Linked DNA regions of Caenorhabditis elegans. The protein of the gene in region 1 interacts with the protein of each later gene in a biochemical or structural test. Each region holds a gene or a part of one and is shown on either strand. Other genes may lie near its edges.

Region 1 (8,371 bases):
AATCGCCGCCTCCACTTCCAACTTTCGATCATCCTCAACTTTCTGGCGAGTTTCACGAATCTCGGGCTCCGATTCCACTTTTCCTGTCACCATTTGCACTTTGACACGTGTCAGCTTCGATTGGAAGTTGTCGTTGACGGCGAACTCGTCACTCATGTCTGGAAAAATTATAAATTGAAATTATCGATTTTTCTGGGTGCTTTTTTAATAGTTAACGTAAAATATTCCAAAAAACATAAATTTCCGTATGAAACAGTTCAAAAACGTGAAAAAGGCAAATTTTACTAGGGAATGGTGTTACCCCTGCAATCGCTAGGAGGACAAAACAAAGTGAAAATGGAAGATCAGATCTATGGCTACAAGAATCAGTTTTTGGAATCTGCTTAACTCGGTCCCAAAGCTGAAATTTTCGGTCTTAAAAAGTAGTCCTTTTTTTGCTCAAAATGCCGTTTTTCGTGTGTAGAAGTGGCTACATAAAAGTTTGGCACTGCAGCCGCCGTTCGAATGGCCGATTGGTGAACTCTTGTGCTCATTAATCTAAAGGTCACGGGTTCGTTCCCCACTAGGTATTAATTTTTTTTTGAATTTTTCCTCTAGCATGAAATATGCACAAAAACACGGTTTCTTCCGTTTTTTGGTAACTTCGGAATAAATTTTTTGGTTCCTGGGAATCATAAAAGTAATTTGGAAACTTTTTGGAAGTTTTCTTTTTTTGATAAATTTTCACTTTTCTCCCACCTGATGTATGCACATTTTTTTCTTCAAAAATAATTTTTCAAAATTTTTTCAAAAAGTGTTTGGTTTGAAAGAGCAGCATTAGTTTGGATATTTCTACGATTTTGGAGGATCAAATGTCATTTTTAGGAGAAAACCACTGTTGTTTTCTCTAGACTTTTTCACGAAAAGGACCTACTTTCAAAGACTTCCAGCTCCGTTGACGAGTAAAATAAAAAAGAGTTGTCAACTGCAAAGTTATTTTAAAAGTACCAATAAACAAATTGTCAGTTGAAGTTACTCTGCTAAATTTTATGGGTAGAGAGATATGGACATTAGTAATTAAGTAAGTTAAAGCTTCACTTCGATTAGCTATATCTCTCTACCCATAAAATTTAGCAGAGTAACTTCAACTGACAATTTGTTCATTGGTACTTTTGAAATAACTTTGCAGTTGACAACTCTTTTTTATTTTACTCGTCAACGGAGCTGGAAGTCTTTGAAAGTAGGTCCTTTTCGTGAAAAAGTCTAGAGAAAACAACAGTGGTTTTCTCCTAAAAATGACATTTGATCCTCCAAAATCGTAGAAATATCCAAACTAATGCTGCTCTTTCAAACCAAACACTTTTTGAAAAAATTTTGAAAAATTATTTTTGAAGAAAAAAATGTGCATACATCAGGTGGGAGAAAAGTGAAAATTTATCAAAAAAAGAAAACTTCCAAAAAGTTTCCAAATTACTTTTATGATTCCCAGGAACCAAAAAATTTATTCCGAAGTTACCAAAAAACGGAAGAAACCGTGTTTTTGTGCATATTTCATGCTAGAGGAAAAATTCAAAAAAAAATTAATACCTAGTGGGGAACGAACCCGTGACCTTTAGATTAATGAGCACAAGAGTTCACCAATCGGCCATTCGAACGGCGGCTGCAGTGCCAAACTTTTATGTAGCCACTTCTACACACGAAAAACGGCATTTTGAGCAAAAAAAGGACTACTTTTTAAGACCGAAAATTTCAGCTTTGGGACCGAGTTAAGCAGATTCCAAAAACTGATTCTTGTAGCCATAGATCTGATCTTCCATTTTCACTTTGTTTGTCCTCCTAGCGATTGCAGGGGTAACACCATTCCCTAGTTAGCAAAAAAAACCCAACTTTGCCAACTTTCCCATGTCCCATGGGAAAGTTGGCTGCAGCGATTGGAAATTGATTTTTTTTTCAAATTATCAATTTTTTTCAAAAAAATTCGAAAAACTATAATTTCCTTTTCATACCTATCGCATCTTTTCCCTTATTCTTTCTGACCAAAATCCGCTGCGACGCTTTTCCGAGAGCCAGCGACTGCAAATTCCTCTTCAACTCTCGCTCGGGAATCTTAAGCTCATCCATCAGCTGCTGACATGAGATCCGATTGTGATGGTTGAACTGAAGGAGAATGATCATCTGATGCGTATTGACCTGGAGAATCTTGTGCTCCGGTTTTCGTTCTTTCATCGACTCTCCACTGCTCGACGGTCCAGGACCATTTTCCTCGTTTGACATGGATGCTTTTGGTGGTGGATAGAATGTGGCTTTGACGTCAGCGTTTCCGAGAAGTGTGTTGATTGTCAGCTTACGGCCAGTGTGCTTTTCAGTGTAGTATTGTGTGAACATCTGAAAAACGAGGGGAAATTGAAGAAATTCCAAAAATCTTTGTGAAAAAATATTTTTTTAAAAATTGCCCTGGTTTTATATTTTAGCTTGAAAGCACGTTTAATCGCACCCAATAATATTTTTAAACTCGCGCCAGAGATATTCTCATTGGAGCGCACCGTGTTGTGTCGATTTACGGAGATTTCAGTTTTTCCACAAAAATGAAACATACTTATTGAAAAATTGAAATTGGCCTGAAAATTTCATGAGAAATCTCGTAAATCGACACAAGTGTGGCGGTCCAATGAGAATGTCTCTGGTGCGCGTGTGAAAAGCGATTTCAAGCAAAAATAATAGATATTCGGAATCTTTTTTGGCTTTTCTGGCAGAAAAATGGATTTCTAGGTATTTGGTCAGAAAAACTAGAAGAAACGTTTTTTTTTTGAATTCATCTCATCGCGACTGGAAATTAAATTTTGAAAAAAAAACATACTTGTTGTTTTTTGATTGGAAAAACCGAAAAAAATATATATTGTCTCTAAAATGCACATTTTTCTGTATAAAAAATCCATCTTTTGGCAAAAAACGACAACCCTGCGTGTAAGCAGACATTTTTGCGGGTTTTGTGAAACATCAAGCTCAAAAATTGCAAAACCAATTGAAAATTCGAATTACCTCATAGGCAACCGACAACTCTTGCGGCAACACAACCGGATTACACTGAACCGTCGGCCAAACGCCCGCCGTCAAAACTCTAAGCGATATGTCAATGCTCATTTTGGTCGGCTGAGCCTCTCGCCAGTCTCTGAAGCTTGTGGCCAGTGTCAGCCAAAGCTCCTTGTCTCTGAACATATTCTCAAGCTTCTGAGTAAACTGGCAACCACACTCTGTCTTCAGCTTTGCCAGCAGAGCCTTCTCCACATCGTCGGAGCACGATTTGTCGAGCAAGAGACGTTTGGCGAGGTATTGCTTGAAATACTTCTCGAATACATCCTTCTCCTGTAGATAGCGGAACAAGATCATCACATTGTCGAGCTTATTGTCCATTTCGGCGTCCGACACACATTTCAGACCGCTTCGCAGCATATCGTCCATGTAGAGGGCCACAAATTCCGGCGATTGGCGATTCGAGTTGAGGAACGTCTCGAAATCATGCTGGAAGCGATTCTTAAAGTCACGATCGTCGGCAAACGCAGTGGTGAGCAGACTGGAGAAGTAGTCTTTGAGCTGGAGCAATTCGTTGACAAAATTGACGGGGTTTTTGAGCAGATCCTCATTTTTCACAATGTTCGAGCCGGTTTCGTTGAGATATCTGGAAAAAAAAGTTAACTTTTCTTGCTGAGCAACCCCCAATTCTGCTCTAGTTTTCTGAATGCTCCGTGTTCAACTGTTAGGGTTGGTGTTATCTAAAAACTAAAACCACCAACAGCTGAGGCGTTTTAAGGAGAAGCGGCGGTGTTCGACGTAATGGACAACAGAACAAATAAACAGATTGCTGCGGGCGAGTGACACGGGTTTAGGTCAGAAAAGTAGAGTTTGATAAATAAAAATACAGTAAATTGGCTGGAATTTAAATTTCTTGAAGCGAAAACGTGGCCGCGAAACCTCTACTAACACGGCCATGTGTAGATTTACGCGACTCGTGTACTCCACGTGGATTATTTTTTACGGTTTCTGGCTGAAATGCTTGCATTGGTGGTGTTTTACCATTAAAATTAGAAATAATTTGAACGATTAAGCATTTTAGCTAAACACTGTAAAATCCTCTTCAAAAAAAGTGCCAAAGTAAAGTCTAGATTTAACCATCAAATACATAAATTTTCGAGGAGCACAAAAGCTGGTTAAACCGACACATGGAGCCATTTTGGGTGAAATTTTCAATTTTTTACAAAATAAAATCATTGAAATCTCCGCATTAAAGCAAAAACCCGTAATTTCTGGGGTAAAAAAACAAAATTTCCCCTCGAAGAGTACACAGGCTTCGTAAATCGACAGATAACCATGCTAGTGCCTTTTTGTGGTGAAAATTGTTCAAATTTTAATTTTACAACGTTCCTCCCACGGCTGTAATCACCAAATAATTCAATTTCTAAAAAAAAATCGCGCGAAAAACTCACTCGCTAACCGCCTTAAGCAGCGCCTTCAATCCACCACCCGGTACTGTCACCGAATCTCCGATACGTTTGAAAATACGGAAAATGCGAGTCAAATCCTCAATCTTCTTGTGCTCCAACATAAACTTCACACCACCATTCTGCATGTAGACAATCGTCTGAATATGCTCAGCAACCATCACATCATCCATCACCTGCAGGATTTTGGCCTCTGTCATTTTGTCAAGATATCTCGACGCTCGGCTCGCCTCGTCGTGCATCGCAATCTCCACCTGTGCCAGATAGAAGCACGCGTCATTGTCGCCAGAAAGCCAATTCTTGCACACATCCCGATAGTAATCACTAGTCTCCTTCAGAAGTGGCCTCTCAAATTCGTCCTCATAAACCGTCCGGCTATCGATTCCTAGCGAGATGAGCATATCACACGCGTTTTTTATTCCGTGCCAATTGATTTGATTCGATTTTCGATCCAATTTGATAAGCTCCAGAAGAGCATCGCGAATTCGGTCGCCAATCCCGTTTTGCCGCAGAATTTCCGTCCGATACGCGTCGAGACCCAGATTATAGACCGGCAGGACGTGATTATTCTGTGCCACGTAGATCCGATCCATATACATCAGAATATCACGAATCATGACCATGGCGACAGTGTGATCAGCCCACGATTCGGCGACAGTCTCCAGGAAGCTTCCAGAATTCATTGATTCGATAATTCGAATTCGAACCGACGCCATATGATCCTGAATCACGTCTTTCAGGCCATTATAGAGACGTTCTCCGTGCTTGTGGAGCACCATTGTATATGCGTTGCGGTAGAGCTCCTCGAAACTCAAGCCCGAATTGTTTTTGCGTTGGATTTCCTGTATGGCACGCTTCAAAAGTTCCCATGTCTGTGTCACATATTGCTCGTCTATTGTGGCCTGAAAAAAAATCATTTTTCTCCGTTTTTTTTTTGCGGCTTTTCTAAATTTTGGGCATTTTCCTTAAATGACCAAAAACTGGCCCGACTATTAAAAAATTTCCAAAATTTCATTATAAGAATTCAAAATTTTCGGAAAAGCGCCAAAATTTGCTAAACTCAGGGATTTTCCAGCTAGAAAAGTTTACGAAATATCAGATTTTAGCAAAATTTGGCAAAAATTTTGGAACTTTTTTGGGATGAAATTCGGTAAATTTCGATCAAAAATGCGTTTTTTTTTCGTGAAAAAAACGCGAAAAACTCTTATGTGAGGTCATTTTTGCGAGAACATTGCCGTTTATAACAAATTTCATGTTTCTAATGGCTAGTCCAAGCAAATAGGAAAAAAAATAGAAAATCGATAAAAAACGGCGGAAATACGATTTTACAGTTTTTCTCTTCGTTTTTTCCTGGTTAAACGGTCAAAAACAATTATTGACCATTAGAAATCCCTCAGAATCGATTTTGTTATATGAAAAAAAAATATTTTGCTTTTGTTCTTTAGAAATGACGAGTTTTGGCACGTGGCACGCAAACTGAAAATGATTGCCACGTGGCATACAGTTGCCAGTGGAAAAATATCAGTTTCTCATCAGAAATTGACGGATTGTTCGGATATCGCGGATAATTCGGCCGTAACATTCCAAGTTTCGTTTTAAAAAAATCGATTTTTCACGCAAAACAAGGAGACAGGCTTGATAGAGGACTAAAATCTGTGTGTGTAAACCTACCATAAATGGGCGAATTCTCATTTTTTGTTGTCCACCATTACCGGAGCGTCCGCTCATCTCCAAAAATGAGTCGATTCCGAACGAACTGGTCAAGTCAGAATCTCGCTCGTTTTTCGTGCACACTGAAATAAACTTGATTTTCCGTTCTCGAAAAGCAAAAAATTTGAAAAAATCGTACTGCGGAATGTTATTATTGCAGAAAAAGCGCGCACTGATAACAGAAAAAACAAAACTAACTATTTTCAGCTTCAAAGTTGAGAAGTCGCGAGTAATTCGAAATAAATCGATTTTGCTTTGTTTTTTTTTCGAAAAAACTTTGAAAATCCGGTAATTAGAATGTCACGCAAAAATAAATAGCTGGATATCAACTTAATTACTCGGAAAAATCAATATCATTATCTCGAAAGTCACTGGAATTTTAATTTCGCGCGTTTTTCCAGAACTTTTTGCCTATTTTCCGGCTCAATCAATCAATATTTCACTTCGAATCAAGTCTAAAACACCTTTAAAAGCTTCAATTTCGAAAAAAACTATGAAAAATGCGAGAAAAATCGAACGGGAACAGTGTGTTTTGGAGTTCAGAAGTGCACCGAGACTGCGTCAATGCGGGTTTGCTGGCGCGCTCCTCGTGCGTTGGCGCTTTTCTCGTGAGGAAGCTTTAAAAATTAATTTTCAACCAGAATTTTAGAATTTTCAGAGAAAATTGGCGGTGTCCACGTGGAAAAATAAATAGTGTTTTCGGTAGAATAAACTTTAAATTTATTTAAAAGTACAAAATTTGTGGAAAGCCCTCGAAAATCGGTTGAAAACGATCTAAAATGATTAAATTTACTTAATAAATTAACAATATTCGCTGTTTCAAATTAATAGAAAGTCGCAAAATAAATATTTTTATTTGAAAATAAGATGATGTTGAAATTGGAAATTTGAGAAAAAACAAGAATTTTAAAAAAATCAGAAAAATAAATAAAATTATAATTAGCCGAGTCGAAGTTGACGTTGAGAAGAGGAAGTTGAGTGATCTGAAAAAAGAAACAGTTTAATAAACGAAAACGAGTTTTAATACTTCAGGAAGGAGTACAGAAATATACAACATTTCCTATTCAAGCGGAAAACGGAAATTATGGGGTGTTTAGGGTGGCGGAAGAAGCTGGGATCAAATCATTCATACAGTTCAACTACAATGATTCGAGTCATGGCTTCCTGGATCTTATTACTTTTTATTCTGAATTTTTTAATTTCCTGTAAGTTTTGCCAAAAGCTAGGATTTTTTGAAGGCGTAAAAATCGTGTTTTGCCATAAATCTGAGTAATCTTACAATTAGTAAGCTGAGCGTAATTGTTCAAAAAATGGTATAATTTTTCACAATTTTTCTCAATTTTGCACCAATAATTCAAAAATGGTCAATTTATTATTTCGAAATTTCTGCGTTTTAGGCTTTAGGCTAAGAGAAAATCCAATAAATATTGCAGGAATACGCAAAAAATAGAATTCATTCGCGCAGGAATTCAAAATTAATGTGGTCATTTCTAATTTTTTTTGCGAAATTTAAAAATAATAGCAATTATATACAGATTTTTTTCACTGTTTTCTCTTTTTTTGCAATTAAAGTCAGGGCTACCGTACTCCTGGTGGCTCGTGTTCTTCACCGTGTATATTACGGTAACGCAAAATTCTGAGAATGCGTATTGCGCAGCAAATTTGACGCGCAAAATATCTCGTAGCGAAAACTACAGTAATTTTTTTAAAAATTGCTACTGTAGCGCTTGTGTCGATTTACGTGCTCGATTTTTGAAATGAATTTGTTTCCGAATAGTGATATCGATATTTTATTTTCCTCCGCGCCTGCATAGTATTTTCTAAATTTTTTGCTCAATTTTAATCGAGCCCATAAATCGACACAAGCGCTACAGTAGTAATTTAAAAAATTACTGTAGTTTTCGCTATGAGATATTTTGCGCGTATACGTTTCGTAATACGCATTCTTCGAATTTTAGTCTCCTGTAATTTCAAAGGGGGCGAGGGAGGCAACCGAACATTTTCGGAAATTATCGAATTTCCGTACGAAAAATACTGTCTATTCCTGTTTCAAAAGTATCAATAATGATTCAATATTTCCCGCCAAAACCAATATGAATTCAACAAAAAAAGCAGTGAAGCCCTTTTATTTCCGGTGTGCATCAAAAGTTCTCCTGAACTTTGTTGCCCAATCTCTGAGTATATCG
Region 2 (3,339 bases), on another chromosome or scaffold:
GCTTTTTTCGATCACTTTCATGAATGACATCGACGCTTCATTTACGCATTGTGGACGGAGATTGTAAAATTGGGATATTAAATTGTTTGCATTGTGAAGGTGAAGAAACCATCCATGGATTCAACGACGTTACACTCTGCCTTAATTCCATCAATACGAGTTATTTCGAACTTTTGTGGTCCAATTTTATGCTTAGGTAGATTCATAATAATAGGCAAGTCACTGATGTCTGGATGTTCAAACTTAAGATATTGAAGCATACAATTCGAGTAACAAGACATCCAGTGACGGATAAATATATTCCAATCTTTTGCGCTCATATTCGAATGAAAAACTGTGATTTTGAGACAATCAAAATTGAGAAGAAAGTACAACCAGCGTTACCAAACTTTTTTGCTCGCGATGAGACCCATCTATTACGGGAACACGAAATTCTGAGAATGCGTATTGAACAACATATTTGACGCGCAAAATATCTCGTAGCGAAAACTACAGTAATTCTTTGAATTACTACTGTAGCGCTTGTGTCGATTTACGGGCTCGATTTTCGAAATGAATTTCTCCGTATTATTTTTTTCATTTTTTTATTCTAATATTTTATCGATTAATAAATGATTTCCGTAAATCGTCAGCAGTGCTACAGTACTCATTTGTTGCGTAATACGAATTCTCAGGATTTTTTGTTACCATAGTGTTATTTTCATCAATTTCTTTCTAATAAATGAAAAACATTTTTAAGAGTTACCGAGATTTTTTTTAATATTCCTTTTCAATGAGGAGAAAATTGTCAATGAGAAGCACTAATTGTTTCGCCGTTGCGTTCAGGGCAGGACTGCTTTTAATTTTAAAATAATAGCATCACGAGATCAAGAATGCATTATTTATTTGAACACAGAAAATAAAATGAGGAATATGATTTAAAGAACTGATGTAACAATAAATATTGAAAGTTGGAGAGATTGGACATAAAAACGGGACATTCGGGACTGTGACTCGTTTCTATTTGGAGCGGGCTCAATTCAGACGGGAGTTTACATTTTATATGAATACATTTTCTTAAAATCCTCCGCGGAGAGCAAGAACCAGATGAAGAACAGATCCACCGAGAACCTTGTAATCTGCTGCTGTCTTGTCGTCGTTCATTTGCTTTCCGGCGAAAATGAGACGCTGTTGGGGTGGTGGGATTCCTTCTTTTTCTTCGACCTGCAAAATAATTTTCGTTGGATATTTCGAGATAAAATTTAGCTAAAATGGAAGTTAAAGTATGTTACCTTTTCTTTGATTCTCTCGACTCGATCATTTGGTTCGATGTCCAGCTCAATTTCCTTTCCAGTCAAGGTTTTAACTTTGATGAGCATTTTCTGTAAACTGAGACGATAAATAGCGAATATTAGGTGAAAATTAACATAAAATTTTCAAAATACTGCGTTAACAGATAAAAAGTGATTCAAAAACAATGGATTTAACTCTAAACTTGAAAAAAAGAACAAAATTCGAAGAATGATGAGAGGGGTCCGGTAGAGCGCATTTGGAACGCGAGAACGAACGAGAGAGCATGAGAATATGAGAGACGCAGCAGCTTACTACGCAGTTATTTTTTGTTAATATTTATTTTTGTTTTTATAATATTATTTTCATTTTTAATTTCAGTCTTAGTCCGAAATCTATTTTGTTTGAAGTATTAAAAGTTCTCATAGCTATGAAATATATTATTGAGAAAAGAAGAAGAAAAATTCAAGAAATGAGATAGAAAATTGCTCACCGTTCGTCAAGACGAAAGAAAAGCGAATGAAGTACCTTTCTCGAACAAATGCGCTCAGCGTATCAAGAACAAATCGATTTCTTACAAATACTGCGCGTTCTGATCTCCTAGGAAGTTCAGTTAGGTTCATCCTAAACACTAGTTATCGATTTTCATATTTCCTACTGGTCGAATGTGATATAATAATGAAAATTAAACAGATTTGTGGATAGGAGAATTAAAATATCATTCATGAATCACGGAACACTATTTAGAAATTATATTTACATTACTCAAAAAATTGGGGTGAAATAGAACAAAACACAAACCCAAACATGAAATTAAATAAATTATTTCACCATTCATAACGGCCATCATAACTACTATTATAAGCCCATTAATGAGCACTCATTGAGCAGAAAATAAATAGACATTGGCCTTGTGGCCGAACTTGCACTCTTCCATAAAGCGTTCCAAAGAGCCTTCGATTTTCTTGCTTAAATGACATTTCTCTATCCTTTTCATAAATTGAAATTAATGCTTCCACTTAATAAACTAAATTTCAGCCGAAATGCCTACTATGGTAATGTCACAACTGCCTAAATCATCAGGCAATGCGCGAAAACGTCAAAAGAACAAAAACGACCACATTGTCGTAAGTATTTCTGAAGATTTCGAGTCCAACAACATTAAAATCAACCCTTTCAGGCAATCAGCTACATGTACGTTGGAACTCCAAAGAAAAAGTTCACCTTCTATGTTCGAGAAGTAAATTAAATATCTGATAGTTCAAGATTTATTCATTTCTTTTCAGAGAATGTTGTATCGTTCGAATGTGGAAGTTACATACGAGGATGTATACAACTATTTGGCTACAATTTCCAACGACGAAACTGTTTCTTTGCATTATTCTGGTAATTTTCTCAAAAAAATCCCATTTCGGAGCGAATTTTCAGACAAAAATTCGAAGTTAAAGTTTCTCATAGTTTTGTAGAAGTTTTAATCGAAAATTTATATAGAAAGATAGAAAAGTACTTCAACTGTTGTTTGCAAATTTTGAGAAACTGCAGCTTTCAGGCAGTATTCGAGGTCCCTTTTGTTTCTGAATAAATTTTTTTCTTTGTAAAGCTAGACAATTTTCAGTCAATGGTTTGTACGTGCCAATCACAACTACTGGACAGCTTCACACATTTATTCGCCATGTTCATAATGATCCTACTGCATTTCTGTACGTAGAGGTAAAAGTTTCAAATCTATCAGAATGTAATCTAATTTAATTTTTTTAAATTTCAGAATCAAGATTACGTATGGAATGTTACGCCACAGAGCAAAAGCCACAAAATGGAGAAGCGAGTTCCAAATGGAGGAGCTACTCCGATAGATGGAGACTCTGAACAGTATGATTCAACGGAGGACGAAGAAGTGTCTCATGTTGAAGATGAAAATTGTGATTCTGAAGAAATTAGTCAGGACGAGGAAGAATATGAAGATGAAGAAGGTGAAGAATATGACGATGATGATGAATCTCGAATTGCGCCAATTCTAACTGATTATACAGCTCCAATGATTGTTAGCGACAAGATACCATTGAAAGAAGC

What was found.
Region 2: of the proteins of cul-3 (region 1) and ned-8, one has a biochemical effect on the other in vitro, tested with the Caenorhabditis elegans proteins (one study listed by BioGRID).

What each region holds. Positions count from the first base shown.
Region 1 is NC_003283.11:175,476-183,846, reverse strand, and holds the start of cul-3 (Cullin-3), read right to left. Parts: upstream 6,269-8,371; 5' UTR 6,204-6,268; coding exon 6,147-6,203; intron 5,378-6,146; coding exon 4,461-5,377; intron 3,656-4,460; coding exon 3,019-3,655; intron 2,365-3,018; coding exon 1,986-2,364; intron 159-1,985; coding exon 1-158. UniProt on the Caenorhabditis elegans protein: Probable core component of multiple cullin-RING-based BCB (BTB-CUL3-BTB) E3 ubiquitin-protein ligase complexes which mediate the ubiquitination and subsequent proteasomal degradation of target proteins.
Region 2 is NC_003279.8:10,372,502-10,375,840, forward strand, and holds ned-8 (Ubiquitin-like protein NEDD8), read right to left. Parts: upstream 1,362-3,339; 5' UTR 1,359-1,361; coding exon 1,272-1,358; intron 1,204-1,271; coding exon 1,057-1,203; 3' UTR 872-1,056; downstream 1-871. Other genes in the region: hpo-35 (PB1 domain-containing protein), read left to right, coding at 2,313-2,396, 2,450-2,509, 2,556-2,655, 2,885-2,979, 3,035-3,339. UniProt on the Caenorhabditis elegans protein: Ubiquitin-like protein which plays an important role in cell cycle control and embryogenesis. Covalent attachment to its substrates requires prior activation by the E1 complex uba-3-ula-1 and linkage to the E2 enzyme ubc-12.